Linked DNA regions of Oreochromis niloticus. The protein of the gene in region 1 purifies or fractionates together with the protein of each later gene. This does not show direct contact. Links are inferred from orthologs where the notes say so. Each region holds a gene or a part of one and is shown in the gene's direction. Other genes may lie near its edges.

Region 1 (7,721 bases):
CTCTTTGTCTTTCCTCTTCTCCCTATCCCTGTAATGCATCTTCACACTTCAATACTCCTTTGTGTCCTTCAGGCAGGCAGATGGTGCTGGAAACCCTCTATGCACTCACGTCTAACACAAAGATCGTCAAAGAGGCAATGGCCAAAGGTCAGTGTTCTACTGTTTGTTTGTTTTTGTTGTTGTTTGTTTGTTATTGATTGCTGGCTACGTTTATCTGAATTTTGAATCACAGATGTTTCTGTTAATCTTTATGTCCTGCAGGTGCTCTGATCTATTTGCTGGACCTCTTCTGTAATTGCACACACCCCCAGGTTCGCACACAGACTGCAGAGCTCTTCTCAAAGATGACTTCAGACAAGCTGGTTGGGCCAAAGGTCAGATTGGAGTTAAAAAAATAAATGAAAGGCTTAATCAGTCTCATCTCCCTTTTACTTTATGATGCGTCATGACATATCGTCAACTCACTTTTGCTGTTTCATATTCTGCTTTCTCTTTTAGGTGCGTCTAACACTGATGCGTTTCCTCCCTGGTGTATTCATGGATGCCATGCGGGACAATGCTGAGGCAGCAGTTCACATATTTGAGGGAACGCACGAAAACCCTGAGCTCATCTGGAATGACAGCTCAAGGGAGAAAGTGTCTACTACTGTCCGGGAGATGATGCTTGAGTATGTGACAAACACTGTTTTAACCAGATAAAGAATAGTTAGACACTCTAATAGGATGTTTCATGTCTTGTACTAAATCACTTTAAATCTTTTCCAGGCACTTTAAACAGCAGAAAGATAATCCTGATGTGAACTGGAAAGTAAGTATGAGAACTCATTATTATAAGTTGGTGTATCTGTAGGAACTATGAATGTCAAACTAAACTCCTAATCTGTGTGCTCAGTTGCCAGAAGACTTTACAGTGGCTTATGGAGCCGGACAGGGTGAGCTTGAAGTTGGTGGAGTCTTCTTGCGCATCTTTATTGCTCAGCCTGGGTGGGTGCTACGCAAGCCTCGAGAGTTCCTGGTGTCACTTCTGGAAACCCTGACTGAGCTCCTGGAGAAGAACAATCCCAATGTGAGCTTCCTAACTGAGAAACGACTGTACAAATTTCTAGTGAATGCAGAAGTTAGACTTTTTCTGTCTTATTCTATTATCTTCTGCAGGGTGAGGCCCTGGAGACGGTTACCACAGCGGCAGTTTGTCTGTTCAGCACACAGTGCCAGCTGGCCGACCAGGTCCCTCCTCTGGGCCACCTGCCTCGGATCTTGGCGGCACTCAACCACAAGAACAATGCCGTGCCTAAGAGCTCCATCCGCCTCATCCATGTACTATCAGATAATGAGGTAAGAAACTAATTTTAATGCAAGACTACAAAAAATCAGAACCAGCCAGTTTAAATTTTTTATGTACAAGTGACACCTCACCCACATCAACTAAAATATGCTTTGTTTCGTGTAGCTGTGTGTACGGTCCATGGCTTCTCTGGAGACTATTGGCCCTCTGATGACCGGGATGAAGGTTCGGGCGGACATGGCTGGATTGGCTTGTGAAGCTCTCAACCGCATGTTCCAGAAGGAGCAGACAGACCTAGTTGCCCAGGTGCACTGTCACCTTTGTCACCTGTTATTATCCCTCACTGTGTTTCATGTGTCCTTAATGGAACTTTCTATAACAACTTAACAGGCTCTGAGGGTGGAGCTGGTTCCATACCTCTTGAAATTACTGGAAGGAATCGGCCTGGAGACGTTAGAAAACCCTTCAGCTACTAAGGCCCAGATAGTTAAAGCTCTGAAGTCCATGACTCGTAGTCTACAGTATGGAGAGCAGGTATGATCGGATTATTGAAGTCATCAAATGATTGGTATGATTTTTTTATATAACAATCAAATATTTAAACTCTTGCTTATTGCTTTTTTTCCCCACAGGTGAACGAAATTCTTGCAAAGTCTTCAGTATGGAGTGCCTTCAAAGACCAGAAACACGATCTTTTCATCTCAGACTCTCAGACTGCAGGTTACCTGACAGGTAAAGTTTTCCTTTTTACATATTAGAAGTGCTGATTAACCTGAATAACAAGCTAAACTGTTAAAATATAAAGTGCTTTAAAAGGTAAGTCTTCTGCATCTTTCTCTGAGCTGATGATGAATCTTAATGCTTTGCTTTACCCTAAAAAGCCAAAACACCTTATGGCTGACTCCTCACTTGTGCTTAAACCCAGCTGTCCTATAACTTCCTGGCTCTGCTCTTCCCTTCCTCTTTTTTCCTCCACATTTCCTCCTCAGGGGTTTCCACTCCTTCTCTCCTGGCCGCCAGCAGCCCACTGCGAGGTGGGCTCTAGACTCCTGAACTGGGCCCTCACAGCCCTCCTCTCTTTTGCTCTGATGCAGGTAGACTGTCCTGGCTCCTACCGTCATTCCTTTTCTCTTTACCTCCATCCTGGCTGCACATGCCATTCTCCATTCCCACCCATTTCATTTTACTCACACTGAAAATAATTCATTATCTCTTAACACCCATTCTGGATCCACAACAGTGTGTTGAAAACACAGGCAGCTTGTGTTATGTATGCAATATGTACCCAGCATTTAAAGAAATACAGATTTTTTTTAAAAAAAAGGCTGAAATGTAGAATTACAAGGGAAAAACATAGAAAATAGTTTTTAAAAAAAATCAGATTTTCTAGAAAATTATCAATTAGTCGTTTACATAGTAAGTAAATTAAGCCCATGGAAAACATTAAAGTCCCTGCAAAACATTGTAGCCAGTGTAGCGATCATCCCATCCATGCTTGATGTCTTAGTGTGTAGTACATCATTCTAGCTCCCCATTAGCCCTGCATCTATCCTTGTAATTTACATCTGAACTGTCTCTTCTGCCTTGCTGTCATATGTAGGTCCAGGAGTAGCAGGTTACCTTACAGCAGGAACGGGCACCACAGTAATGCCCAACGTCCCACCCCCTGTGGACAATGACACTGGAGACCAAGGCTGAAGGACACGCACAATGAAAGGCTCAGGCACCCAGAGTGCAGCTTCACGGCCGCAGCTCAGAGAGGGACTGTTCAGCTCCCCACATGGAGGGGATGTTGAGAGGAAAACAAAACAAAAGAAAAAAGAAGAGTGAGAGAGCGGGCCATCATTGACTGTCACCAAAACCTCTGCGACACCTCCTGCAGCGTCACTCTGCTTTGCCCCTTACAAATGACACTCAAGTCTTCAGAAATGCTTTGTTTTAATGGATGACCACATTTGTTTAGTTTCTGTTCTACTTTTCTTATTTCTTCTAATGACAGAGAAGACTTTACTTTTTGTATGAATATATTTTTTACTCTTGATTTTTTTTTTTTCATTAGACAGCCATGGGAAGACTGAGGCTTCTTTTTTGTTATTTTTTTTTTCTCTTTGGCATATCCTGATTGGCTACCTTAACCTTACATCTCCTTTGAGGCCTCATTTGTGACGAATAAGTGCACAGGACCTATCCACCACTGAAATAAACATTTTGTTTACCTGTCTATATTAACGCATTCTCATGTGGAAAAGAAAAAAAAAATCACGGGACATGAAGGATGTGTATGATTTCTCTGGCCTGTTTCTCCAAAAGAAAATGCCACTTTAACCCCTTAGACCTGCTGACCTCTGGTCTGCTTTGATCAGGTCACCTTCAGTCCTCTTCTGTCAAAGATGACACAGAGCTCTCATAATATCCAGCCTCTTTTTCCTCTGATCTTATTCATACTTCATTCTGCTCTCTCTTTGAAGGCTACTCTTTTCTGCCTCATATTTTTTAAAGTAACTCTCCCCCAGAATGCAAAAAGCACTAGAATATTTATGAGTGAATAATAACCACCTGAAATGAGCTTCTGCTGACATGACGAATGACATTGACTCTGATTACCAATCTATGTGAAAGACTAGTGCAATTTGTGAAATGTTCAATGTAATATTGCGTATATAAACTTTATATTGAATGTACATTGAAAAAAAAAATCAGTCGACACTTGTACATAAAATTTTAAGAATAAAAGGGAACCCACAGTGTTGTTCTACTTGTCTTTCCTGTTCACAATGTTTATAGATGTCAAGTCTGTTTATTGAGAGAGAGAGAGATGAAGGGGGGGCGTATATCAAAATATTTCTCAATCCAATTACTTTTGCAGTAAAATGTTTTTATACAAGAATCAATTTCATATATTTGAGACCTTGGGCAATATGGTTGTGCTTTGTTATAAACGCGAATGTTTTATAAAGTTATGTCGTTTATATTATGTCAGTCTATTTGAGAACCATAACTTTTCACGGATGTGGATATTGAATTTATAGTGGATTACACCAGCTACATAGATGCCATGAATTAGGGACTAGGTCTCACCTCACAAGCCTGACGGTAAGTCAAGGAAATTCATAAAAACTCAATACAGCTGCTATTGAGGGCAACATGAATAGGGAAAATGTGCTAAACATGACAACGGTTTTAATATATTTATGTCAAAATTTAAAAAAAGAAACAAAACAAGTCCCTTCAGTGAGGTTTTCAAGTTTCTAATTTTTAACACATTAATATATCGTTTATCATCCCCGATTCACTTTCTCGTGTCTGTAGCGGAACCTTTGAAACGTTCACTCCAGTCGGTCAGATTAGCAGGTAACGCCGGAAGTTGCGCCAAAGGCGCGAACACTATCAACAAAGATCACAATTTGTATCTCTAAACTGTTACGATTAAATTGTTTTAAAATGTATGTCAGTTAGTTAAACCCATATCTCGGGACTTTTGGTTGGACTGTTGGTTTAAGATAACATGAGCAGTGCTAGTTTTTGGATGTTTTTATGTTGTAACTGAGCTACATGCAGGTTTGAACGTTAGCTCGCAAGTTTATGTTGCGCAGCTAACAAAGTCAGTGTAGGCTTTCTAAAAAGTGACAGCAGCCTTCACAAGCTTCAACTCGCTGACAAGCCGCACTAACGTAAAACTAGCTCCCTATGACTAATCAGAGTTTATACTGATTCCCGTCGGAATACACAGGCTGTCTTTACTGGCGCTCTTGAGCTCTTCTATTAAAGGTAAGTAACTAGTAAGTTATTATTTTAAGCTAATAGCAGGCCAGTGTTGAATTTATGGCGGTGCTTAGTCATACCTTAATCTTTGTAGGTGATCATTTTTAATTTAGACGCTACTGCTAAGGCCAGCCACAGCCATTATAATAAATGCCAGGTCTTGTCACTGGTACAGGGTCACCATGTCTAAGGCAGAAAAAGAAGCCTTCATTGTGAAGTTTGTGGAAAGTGAAGGATCAAAAAAAGACTGTGCTGCCAAAGCTTATGAGGTAAGCTCTACTGCCCAGTCTTTCTTTTAGTGTTTACTGTCTCTTTGTTTTACAAATTTGTAATCATGTTTGTCTTCGGTTTATTCAGGCCATTTTGGAGCTGCAGTCTGAAAAACATTTGAAAACCATCACAGAAGATGATGTTTTGCGCATGGATAAGAAGGACAAGTCTCTGTTTGTGTTCACCAGTTTTACATCTCCAGCCTTTCTTCACTGCAAGAAGGTTGAACTATACACTTTTAAACAGTGAAATGTCACTCCTGAGGCTCTATCAGAGATTGACTCTTGTTTTTTGGATTTCCTGTGCAGCTTGGTTGCAGAATAGTGAGTCCACTGGTGGTGTTGTACTGCCTGCAGCAACAGCGTTGTGTCCCCAAAGCAGAGAAACCTGTCTATAACATGGCCATGGCTGATGTCACCATTTGCTGCACCAGCATGGACAGAGCAATACGGGTAAGAAATCCGGAGTCTGCTATATACATTTTAATGAAATATGAAGCACTGTGACATGTTTATGTCCATACTTTCTCTCACACTCCAGGAAGAGCTGATGGATCTGGTGCAGCTCATGGGTGGACGGGCCTATTCGGATCTAAACGTATCTGTTACACACCTGATTGCAGAAGAGGTGGGCAGCAAAAAATACCTGGTAGCAGCCAGCCTCAGTAAACCCATCCTGTTGCCTACGTGGGTCAAAGCCTGCTGGGAGAAATCACAGGATAGGTATGTATTGTGATTTACATGGCTACATCTATTAAATACATGAAGACTTGTGTTTCCTGTTTGGTACAAATTCACATTTTAAATCACTGTACATTTACAAAAACATGAATGATGTCTTTGTACTCCTTTTCCAGTCTTTTCAGATATACAGACCTGCCCTTAGAGGACTACCTTTGCCCTGTGCTGCGTGGCTGTAGTGTTTGTGTGACAGGTCTGTCCAGCACAGAGCGCAAAGAAGTACAAAGACTTTGTGAGCAGCATGGGGCCAACTACACCGGTCAGCTCAAAATGAATGAGTGTACACACCTCATCGTTAATGAACCAACAGGTAAGTCACCAGTATTTTAAAAAAGTGATGTAATGCCATCATTTGTGTGTCATTGATTGTTATCAATCGTACTTGGTTGTAGGTCAGAAGTACGAGTGTGCTCGGAAGTGGAATGTGTATTGCGTTTCTTTGCACTGGCTCTTTGACAGCATAGAGAAGGGCTACTGTCAAGATGAAAGCAGGTACACTGTGGAGCGCAATGCTTCAAAAACCACTCGGCCACACACTTCCACACCTACTGGTACCAGTAAGAAGGACGGTGAGTCGCATTTGATAAGATGAGAAAGGTTTACCACAATAATTCAGAACCTGTTTTTCTTTAATGATTAAAGAGTTATGTTTTTCATCTCCAGAGGGTCCATCACTGTTGGGCTTGAGCAACATTTCTGTGAACACTAGCAGGACAATAAACGACACGGCTCTCACCAATAACAGCACTGTGAGCCACCTGGAAGCTCCAGACCCCATAGAGAGTCTGGATCTTACCGTGTGCCCTGCTGATGATTTATTGGATGGCTGTAAGGTAAGTCGATGGTCTGCAGTTTTCTTTTTATATAGATTTTATGTATTTCCCCTTTCATTTCTGTAGTTGAATTTAGTTGAGTCTATAAATGATAAACTTAAGGCTTTCTGTCACTTTGTGTTAAATGTCACACAGCTGTATCTGTGTGGCCTGCCAGGGAAGAAACTGGAGAAGTTACGGCGTCTTGTAAATGCTGCAGGAGGTCTGCGCTTCAACCAACCCAGGGAGGAGCTCTCTCATGTGGTCATGGGCGAGCTGGACCAGGACCTCAATAATTTTCTTTCCAAAGCAACTCACAGGTCTGAACTACAGAGCTTTTAATAACCTTCATGATATTTATATCCTCTGTATTAATACAATAACTTGGAGATTCTAATGTTTCCCTTCATACCAAAATATGTTTGGTTGGACTGCATAATAATAATTTACACTAAAGGCTATTACACACTGAGAAATGGAGATTCTAGGTTTATCCAATTCTCAACAGAATTCAGCAACAAGGGAGAATTGCGTGGTTTGATCCAGGAGTCAAAGCTGGATCCTGGCTGCTTTTTGCCCACTTTAATATCCTTTCTGCATGTATTAAAACAGCAGCTTTATAGTAAAAAAAAGTCCAGATGCTAATGGGTCCATCACCCACTGACTCATTATAATACAAAAAGTAAGTCAAAGTAACCATTGAAGAGCTAAAATCTTATATTAAACAAGAATTTGAAACATTTGTCTTTAAAATAGTTGGTCGTCTCAGCTCTTAAACACAGAATGTTGGAAAAAAGAGGTAATGTGACTTTTTGTAAGTTGTTGTTGGCCTCATTTAAAATGAGGATTAAA
Region 2 (7,282 bases), on another chromosome or scaffold:
ATGTATTTTTCCAACTGTGACTTGATGTCTGAAAATTCTGCCGTGACAGTTATTCAGTGTCGAAATGTTTGCTGGGTACAGATGGGATATCTCATTATCATGATGCTGTTCTCCACGTGGCCCAGCTCTGCACACTCTGTGTATTGTGCCTATAGATCACATACTTTACTCACAACAGCTGAGCAGGTTATCTACACAGCCACTGTACAAATAGTCCACCACTCATCAGTCTCTGGCTCAGCTGCTGTGAAAGAGTTTTTCATGTGAGAATCACTTTGTGATTGTTTTATAAACTTGCAACTTTGTAAAGAAGTAGGGTTGAGGCTTAAAGGGAAGCTAACTGCACTCTGAGGTTCATTTCTGTGCATAGACGCCTCCTCTTGTGAGAAGAATCGAAACTCAATGCCTGAGAATTTTTCACCATCTGTTTCGGTCTTTGTGGTTTTGGAGCTGGCTCAGGCTTAAACAAACACTGGGAGCAAACATCAGTGTGTTAGGGGTCAAAGTCCTTGACTGTCCTGTCTGTTCACAGATCAAAATAGCACAAACACACCTAGTAAAACCTCAGAGAAGCATGTTATGACAAGATGACACAGACAGTAAGATGTGATTAAATGATCCAGTGTAATGGAACCTTTGAGCTTAGATGCTAGTGACCACCAGACCGTGTCTCTCTTGGGGTTTCTGGGTAAAACTGCATCTGTCGTGATGCCTGTTATAGCATATCACAACACTAAGATACTTTGTGGTAGAATTTTGTTGTTTTTGATAAGGAATTGGGTAAAGACACAGGATTGTCTTTGTTATACCTGCAAATTAAGAATGTGAAATTAACTTTATGCTGCCATAAAGTGCAGTGGCAGCAGCAGCCTTTCAGTTTAAACTAAGCCTGGCTTGATGTTGGCTGGTCCCATGATTAAATCATAGCTATCAAGAAGTTAAATATTACTTTGACTTTCCCATCTTTTCTGTGGTGTTTTGATGCTTTGATGATGTAAAACTTTGAAAAAAGTCACCACTTTATAGGTAAAACCTTCTTAAACTGCTGAGCACTGTTGTTAAAACAAAAGTGCAATTAATAGGGACTATTTTCAGCTGCGGATGAATAAACATATAACATTCCAGTAGTTTTTGGACAGCAGTGAAGCTCTGTGGCACAGAGGAAAACAGTATTTGTTTTGGTTTTGAACATATATTGGGTTTAGTGATTAAAAGTATATAACACCTCCAAGTGATTCTGTTAAATGAACTTTCATTAGTGCAAACAACTAAGCACTCCTCTTGCATTTAAAGCCAAGTTAACGTAAAACACATTGATCACGCTTATTTATTTTTACTTTATCGAATGCTTTAAAACTTTGTCTTCCTATAATATATGTTCAATGTTCCCATTTTTTGATTTTTTTTTAAATAACTTCTCTGTAAAAAGTTCTCCACAATATTAACATCCTGATGTAGCAGTGCTGCTTTACGCTTCTCACAGTTTTTCCAGTGCCTGCTTTGCTTTAAATGATAAAATCATCTCTGGTGTAACAGGACAGCTCAGCCAATCACGTTATTCCAAGTCACCATAACTGTAAAGCGAGTTAAACGAGTCTTCTCAGGCTTACTGTAGATGGGGTACTGTAGGTACTGTTTTAACCTCTCCAGGCGATGGTGCTACCCTCCCAGTGCTCCTGCTGGTCAGGTTTTTCTCTCCGGCATGTAAACTCCTCGATCGTAATCTCAGACATTTAACACTACAATTTGTGGTTCGGGCGTATTTTGAGTTTTTATTTATTTAATGTATTTTTTTTTTTTCTGTTTGTGTGTTGAACCGGCCAAAGTTTTGCACGGTTAACCCGAGCATAAAAGCAGCTGGATCTCAGTGGTTACAGACCAAACTTGGCATAAAGAAAGCGGATGAATTTTGTGCCTTTGTTTACTACGTTCCTCTCAGTTTATGAATGAAGTATATGCTGCATGTTATGGTGTATGCTCTCTGTCATGTAACTTTTTTTCCTTAATCTACCTTTTTTTTTGTTTGTTTTTGTTTCCAGTGTATTCACTTGTAAAGAAACTACACAGTGAATATGGCATGCTGCTTTTTTTTTTTTAACCTCAGAAAGAAACGTGTCATTTCCTTTTACTCAGTGGATTAATTGTTGGTGGACTCAAAAGTGAAGACGTGTGTGGATAATGTCAAATTTTTACAAAATGAGACAAGAGGAGAGAAATCGTATCTGAATTTCTTTGACAGATGTTTTGGGGTTGGTGTACAAGTATGTTTACTTTTGGGGGAATGCAGGATTTTACTTGAATTTTTAATATTTGTAACTTTAGAAGTGGTTAGGATGAAAATGGGAGCAAAGTTGTGGGTAAACTTTGAAGGTATGACTCACCCTGAAGTCGGACATACACATTTTTCCTCCAGCCTGTAGTGGTGTCTATAATCTTAAATAAAAGGAGCTAAATGTCCATAGTCAAAGAAAAAAATCTGAATTTTAAAATGTAATTTGGGGATCTCTAAGCTACAGAGTCAAGCACCATAAAGACAAAAAGATTTCTACAGCTGATTTCTACCAATCTGACCAACTCGTACTAGAATTGTCTTGATGAATAAACAAGGAAAAATCTGTAAGTTAGATTTTTGGGGTGAACTGTCCCTTTAAGGCAAAAAAAGTTCATTAGGCTGCTGCGTTTTCATAAAATCCTGCATGTTTCACACATATTTTTGTCATTGCTTCCATCCATTCTGTTAATTTATGTAATTTCAGGGCATTCAGAGTGATGTTGGGGGATTCTGCTGAGACTTTACTGTTTGCTTTGTTCATGCCATGATCGTACAGCTCATTCTGCTTATGCTTATGTGCTGTTTGTGTTGTGATGCTTTTAATGAATCTCCCCATGACACTGAATGATCTCTTGTCCTTTGTGTGTTTTCTTTGGAGTCAGCAGTCCTGGTTTTGAGTTTGTATGTGATGATGGATGATTAATAAATGAGTTTAAAACGCATGTGCATATCAAATTATGACACACCAGTATTTGTAGATGATGTATTGGGAGATAATGTCCTGGATATTGTATGTATTTACATATTGTGTGTGGTAATAATTCAGATTTTTAAACCTCTAATCAAAGCTGTCACGCGTGCCACCTCTCTTTTTGTAGTTTTTCACCTATTAAAATCAAACTGAAGCATGTAGTTCTGCTGGTTGCCAAAAATATAGAAACAAGTCTCCTCTTTGGAAATTATTTTACGGTATTTTAAGTAATGACTTCCCAGTGTAATGGACAGTTGGTGGGTGGATAGTTTAGCAGACGTTAGGGTGTGTAAATCAGATTCAGGTAGTGACACACAAAAAAACAATTGAACACACCTTTTTTTTTATATATATAATAGAATTCAGTTCGACTTGTTTTGTGAGTTTGCGGGAGAAGTTTTCTTTCAAGGCTTTTTGCCAGACAAGCTCATGAGATACATTTATATAATATTTAAGTGGAAAGAGGTGGGGCAAAATCCTTTCCAATATGTTTTAATCTAAATCAATGAAGTACTTCTTAAAATTTCAGTCTATAACAGCTTTTATCATTAAAGTGTAAAAATGTGTGATGACTGCCACTTCTATAGCTATGCCAATGACAACATCTTTAATAGTACATATTTGTAAAGTGTGTGTCACTACTGAGCTCCAGATTTACATTAATAAATTTATGCTCGGTTAAGTGAACCTCTCATATAAATCCACATTTTTTTCTGTTATTGTAACCACACAGTGGAAACTCTACAATTTTGTGAATGTGTGAAGTGTGTGCATAAGTCATTGTTTTAGAATTTTTACAGACTTAAAACAGTATGGTACAGAGATCATAGTTAACTCTGTGAGGTTTTTGCTTTTTTATTAAATTGTTTAATCTATATCTTTCTCCAAAATATAGAAGTAGAGAGAGGTTACCATCTATAATTATTTATAATATTATAAATTCACTCTTGAGGTAATATAAATGTAAACGCTAATGTTAAAATAATATTGTGTTCTTAATAAAGTCTAAAGGAGTTTACACATATTATAAAAACATCGTTATGACATCGTTTTAAATAAATTAATAAATATTTCAAATCAATATAAATAAAGCTATAACTTTATTTCAGCTCTTTTTAGTCCCAGCACTGCTCTGTTTTCTCAACCTGGTAGGCGTGACTTCCGGCGTTTGACGTTGCTGATTTTCTTTTCTTTCTGATTGGTCGGGAGTGACGTGTAGATTTGGCGCCACATTTCCAACAGGGAACAGAGCGGCATCGCTGTGTGTGTATTGTCAAAGCTCCGAGCCTGACAGCAAACCAAAATAACCCGCAGTTTATGCCACCTCAGGGTGATTAGATTAGGCTCGTCTTATTTCAATAGTTTTAATCGACTGACTTCTCTGAAAATGTTCATCGCGGACATAAGAAAAGATTTTTATGAAGTTGTCGCCAACCAGGTAAGGCTAACTCTTAACATTAGCCAACATTGCCTAGCAGCTAGGAAACTTAACATCTGACATCGCAAACTGAAATCGCTTACATTATAAACCTTCTCGTGCTACTTACAGAGAGTCGTACTCCTGGTGGCACCAGACATTGACGCTCTCTGCGCCTGTAAAATACTGCAGGTAAGACAATAAAATGTTAGCAAGCGGCAGCTCCTGTAGCCTTTGCGTGCACAGTCTTTGATTGTTTTTCCCTGTTATTTTGCCTCTCTTGTTCTAGTGGCTTTTATGCATGATGACGGATATTTGCGCTCTTAAACTAAGGTCATTGTAGAGGGTAAACAGAGAGCACGCTGATTAAATACTTCTAGTTATTATGGACTTATGGACACCCAACCGTACTGTCGTAATGGGGAGGTTACCATCTGTTCATGTGTTAACTGGGAATATTTAAAAGTACTGACAGTAGGTTTCAGTAAGTGCCTGTTGCAGTTTATGGAGCTTTTTTGACTTTTACTGTGTTCAGAGTAATTATAAGCTGATGTAAACACTGACTGCTTGTGTCTTCACTAGGCCTTGTTTCACTGTGACCAGATCCAGTATACACTTGTGCCAGTTACAGGCTGGCAGGACCTTGGCACTGCCTTCCTTGAACACAAAGAGCAGGTATACTTAAATAAGACCAGAAGGCTGTGCTGCAAAGCGAGATTGACGTTAACACGTTATTTTAAGCCAGTATGAAGGTGTCTCTCTTTTAGCTTTTTGAGATCACCATGGAAACGTTTGCTTTTTTTATGTGTTTCTGCTTGAGAACCTGAAGAGGAAAGCTTTGTAGTACACTACTCTGAGCCTGTATATAAATATATGACAGTAAACACTGAACCTTGTGTATTGTGTTGGCTGATTTTTGTGCTGCAGTTTCGATACTTTGTTCTCATCAACTGCGGAGCAAATGTTGACCTCCTTGAGATGCTGCAGCCAGATGATGACTCCATCTTCTTCATCTGTGACACTCACCGGCCTGTAGATGTGGTCAATGTCTACAATGATACCCAGGTGATGTGCAATGGTTTGCTAAATCAGGCTACATCCCCACTAATAAGTTCACATAAGTTCACGGGCTAGGGTCTACCCCACAGAGCCTCAGAGTGGCACAGGGATTCACTCAAGGCATGAGAAGAGAAGGATCAGATGGTGTCAGGGCTGTAGGACTCAGCTCAGTGGCAGAAGTTTGATGAGGATGTGGATGCAGTGTTCGACCCTACAGCTAAAGGGGACGTAAAAAGTTTTCGAACCATGATGGCCATCATAGTGAGCATGGTAGTGGAGACGTTTGGAGTGCAAGATGAAAGAAAGGCCAAGTTGATGTATTATTTTAAAGCAGAAGGGGGAAAAAACAATTCTGTATATGTGAATTAAAACCCCCCCCAAAAAAACATGCTTCTCACCTCATCAGTCTCATCAGTTTGTCTCAGGAGCCAAATAACAACACACACATTTCCTCCAATTCTGTTTGGCGATGTGTATAGTCTGTCCACTGGTATGTGTGTGTTTAACAATATTAACCACTAGTTTGCCTGTAGAGCCAGGCTCTTCAGAAGGTGTTTGTGACCATTGCTTAGTCCACAGGAGAATAGCCAAGGTAAAGAAATGTAAAACCTTTACAAGCATCAAAGTCCAAAACTTTAGAAATAGTTGTTGTTAAAATAAGTCCAAAATACATAAATCAACCATTTTTACTCCACATTCTCTCCAGCATCTCGGTAAAGTGCCCAGCTAGTTAAGTATAAGATTTTTCTTAATTTCTGTGACTGATAATGTCCAGCGGGCAAAGTTAGCGTAGGGGCCTTTAAATATGTAGATAAAGTCTCCTTTTTGCCCATCAGGACTACAGATGGAAGCACCCTTGTGTTATTGTGCTGTACTGTATTTGCATTCTGGTACAAAACCTCAAATAGTTCATTATCTTTATGCATTTCACTGTAAACAATGATCCATTTGCACCTGAAGTTCATTGCATGTAAGATTAACAATACTCCCACTTGTTTGTGGAAGTGAGCGTTACATTAACTCTCTGTCTTCTGCTCAACAGATTAAGCTGCTCATCAAACAGGATGACGACCTCGGCGTGCCGTCGTATGACGATATCTTTCGAGATGAAGATGAGGAAGGAGAAGACTCTGGAAATGAGAGCGATGAAGGCTCAGAGCCGTCTGGGAAACGCAGGAGATTTGATGAGGTACGCATTAAACCGAGTAGGTGCTGCCCGCTGGAATGAACTGGTAGAGTGAACTGTTAAGGCTGTTACACTGGGGCTGTGGTCCTGTGTTTGCAGGGGGCTGTCGAAAGGAGAATTGAAAGGCAGCGAGCGAAGAGGGAGTGGGAGGCTCGAAGGTGAAGTGTTTTTACTTAGTTGTTTGGTTCTTTCTCTGCACAGCACAACTGTTGAATGCAAGCTTACCTTTCATTAATTTCACAGGAGGGAAATCCTGTTTGACTATGAGCAGTATGAATATCACGGCACCTCGGTGAGTTTTGACAACCTCACATGAGTAATATAGGAACATTAATGTTACCTGAAATTCTGAATGAACTCCTGAATTTTCATTTGTTTTCCTGTCAGGCTGCGATGATGTTTTTTGAGCTTGCGTGGGTTTTGACTAAAGATACCAAGGACATGCTGTGGTGAGCTTTCTGAGGAGATGTCATCTTTCATGGCAAACATTCTTGAGATACAGTTTATACGGTCTGTTAGATGTGCACTGCTTCTTCTTTGCAGGTGGGCCATCATTGGGCTGACAGACCAGTGGGTTCATGATAAAATCACAAAGTA

What was found. Proteins that work in one complex are often made in the same cells at the same time.
Region 2: the proteins of topbp1 (region 1) and cdc45 purify together in Homo sapiens (affinity purification with western blotting; 3 studies listed by BioGRID and IntAct, with this or other methods). This does not show direct contact. The link is inferred for Oreochromis niloticus from reciprocal best matches to the Homo sapiens genes TOPBP1 and CDC45.

Annotation. Positions count from the first base shown.
Region 1 is NC_031974.2:14,184,611-14,192,331, forward strand, and holds the start of topbp1 (DNA topoisomerase 2-binding protein 1), read left to right. Parts: upstream 1-4,620; 5' UTR 4,621-5,053; intron 5,054-5,222; 5' UTR 5,223-5,229; coding exon 5,230-5,316; intron 5,317-5,404; coding exon 5,405-5,539; intron 5,540-5,625; coding exon 5,626-5,769; intron 5,770-5,857; coding exon 5,858-6,039; intron 6,040-6,173; coding exon 6,174-6,367; intron 6,368-6,449; coding exon 6,450-6,626; intron 6,627-6,720; coding exon 6,721-6,890; intron 6,891-7,025; coding exon 7,026-7,189; intron 7,190-7,721. Other genes in the region: dnajc13 (dnaJ homolog subfamily C member 13), read left to right, coding at 73-147, 262-374, 499-668, 766-808, 893-1,066, 1,156-1,335, 1,451-1,591, 1,676-1,819 and 2 more. UniProt on the Homo sapiens protein: Scaffold protein that acts as a key protein-protein adapter in DNA replication and DNA repair. Composed of multiple BRCT domains, which specifically recognize and bind phosphorylated proteins, bringing proteins together into functional combinations.
Region 2 is NC_031977.2:25,784,596-25,791,877, forward strand, and holds the start of cdc45 (cell division control protein 45 homolog), read left to right. Parts: upstream 1-4,219; 5' UTR 4,220-4,410; coding exon 4,411-4,461; intron 4,462-4,572; coding exon 4,573-4,632; intron 4,633-5,022; coding exon 5,023-5,115; intron 5,116-5,367; coding exon 5,368-5,505; intron 5,506-6,541; coding exon 6,542-6,688; intron 6,689-6,784; coding exon 6,785-6,843; intron 6,844-6,928; coding exon 6,929-6,977; intron 6,978-7,072; coding exon 7,073-7,134; intron 7,135-7,228; coding exon 7,229-7,279; intron 7,280-7,282. UniProt on the Homo sapiens protein: Required for initiation of chromosomal DNA replication. Core component of CDC45-MCM-GINS (CMG) helicase, the molecular machine that unwinds template DNA during replication, and around which the replisome is built.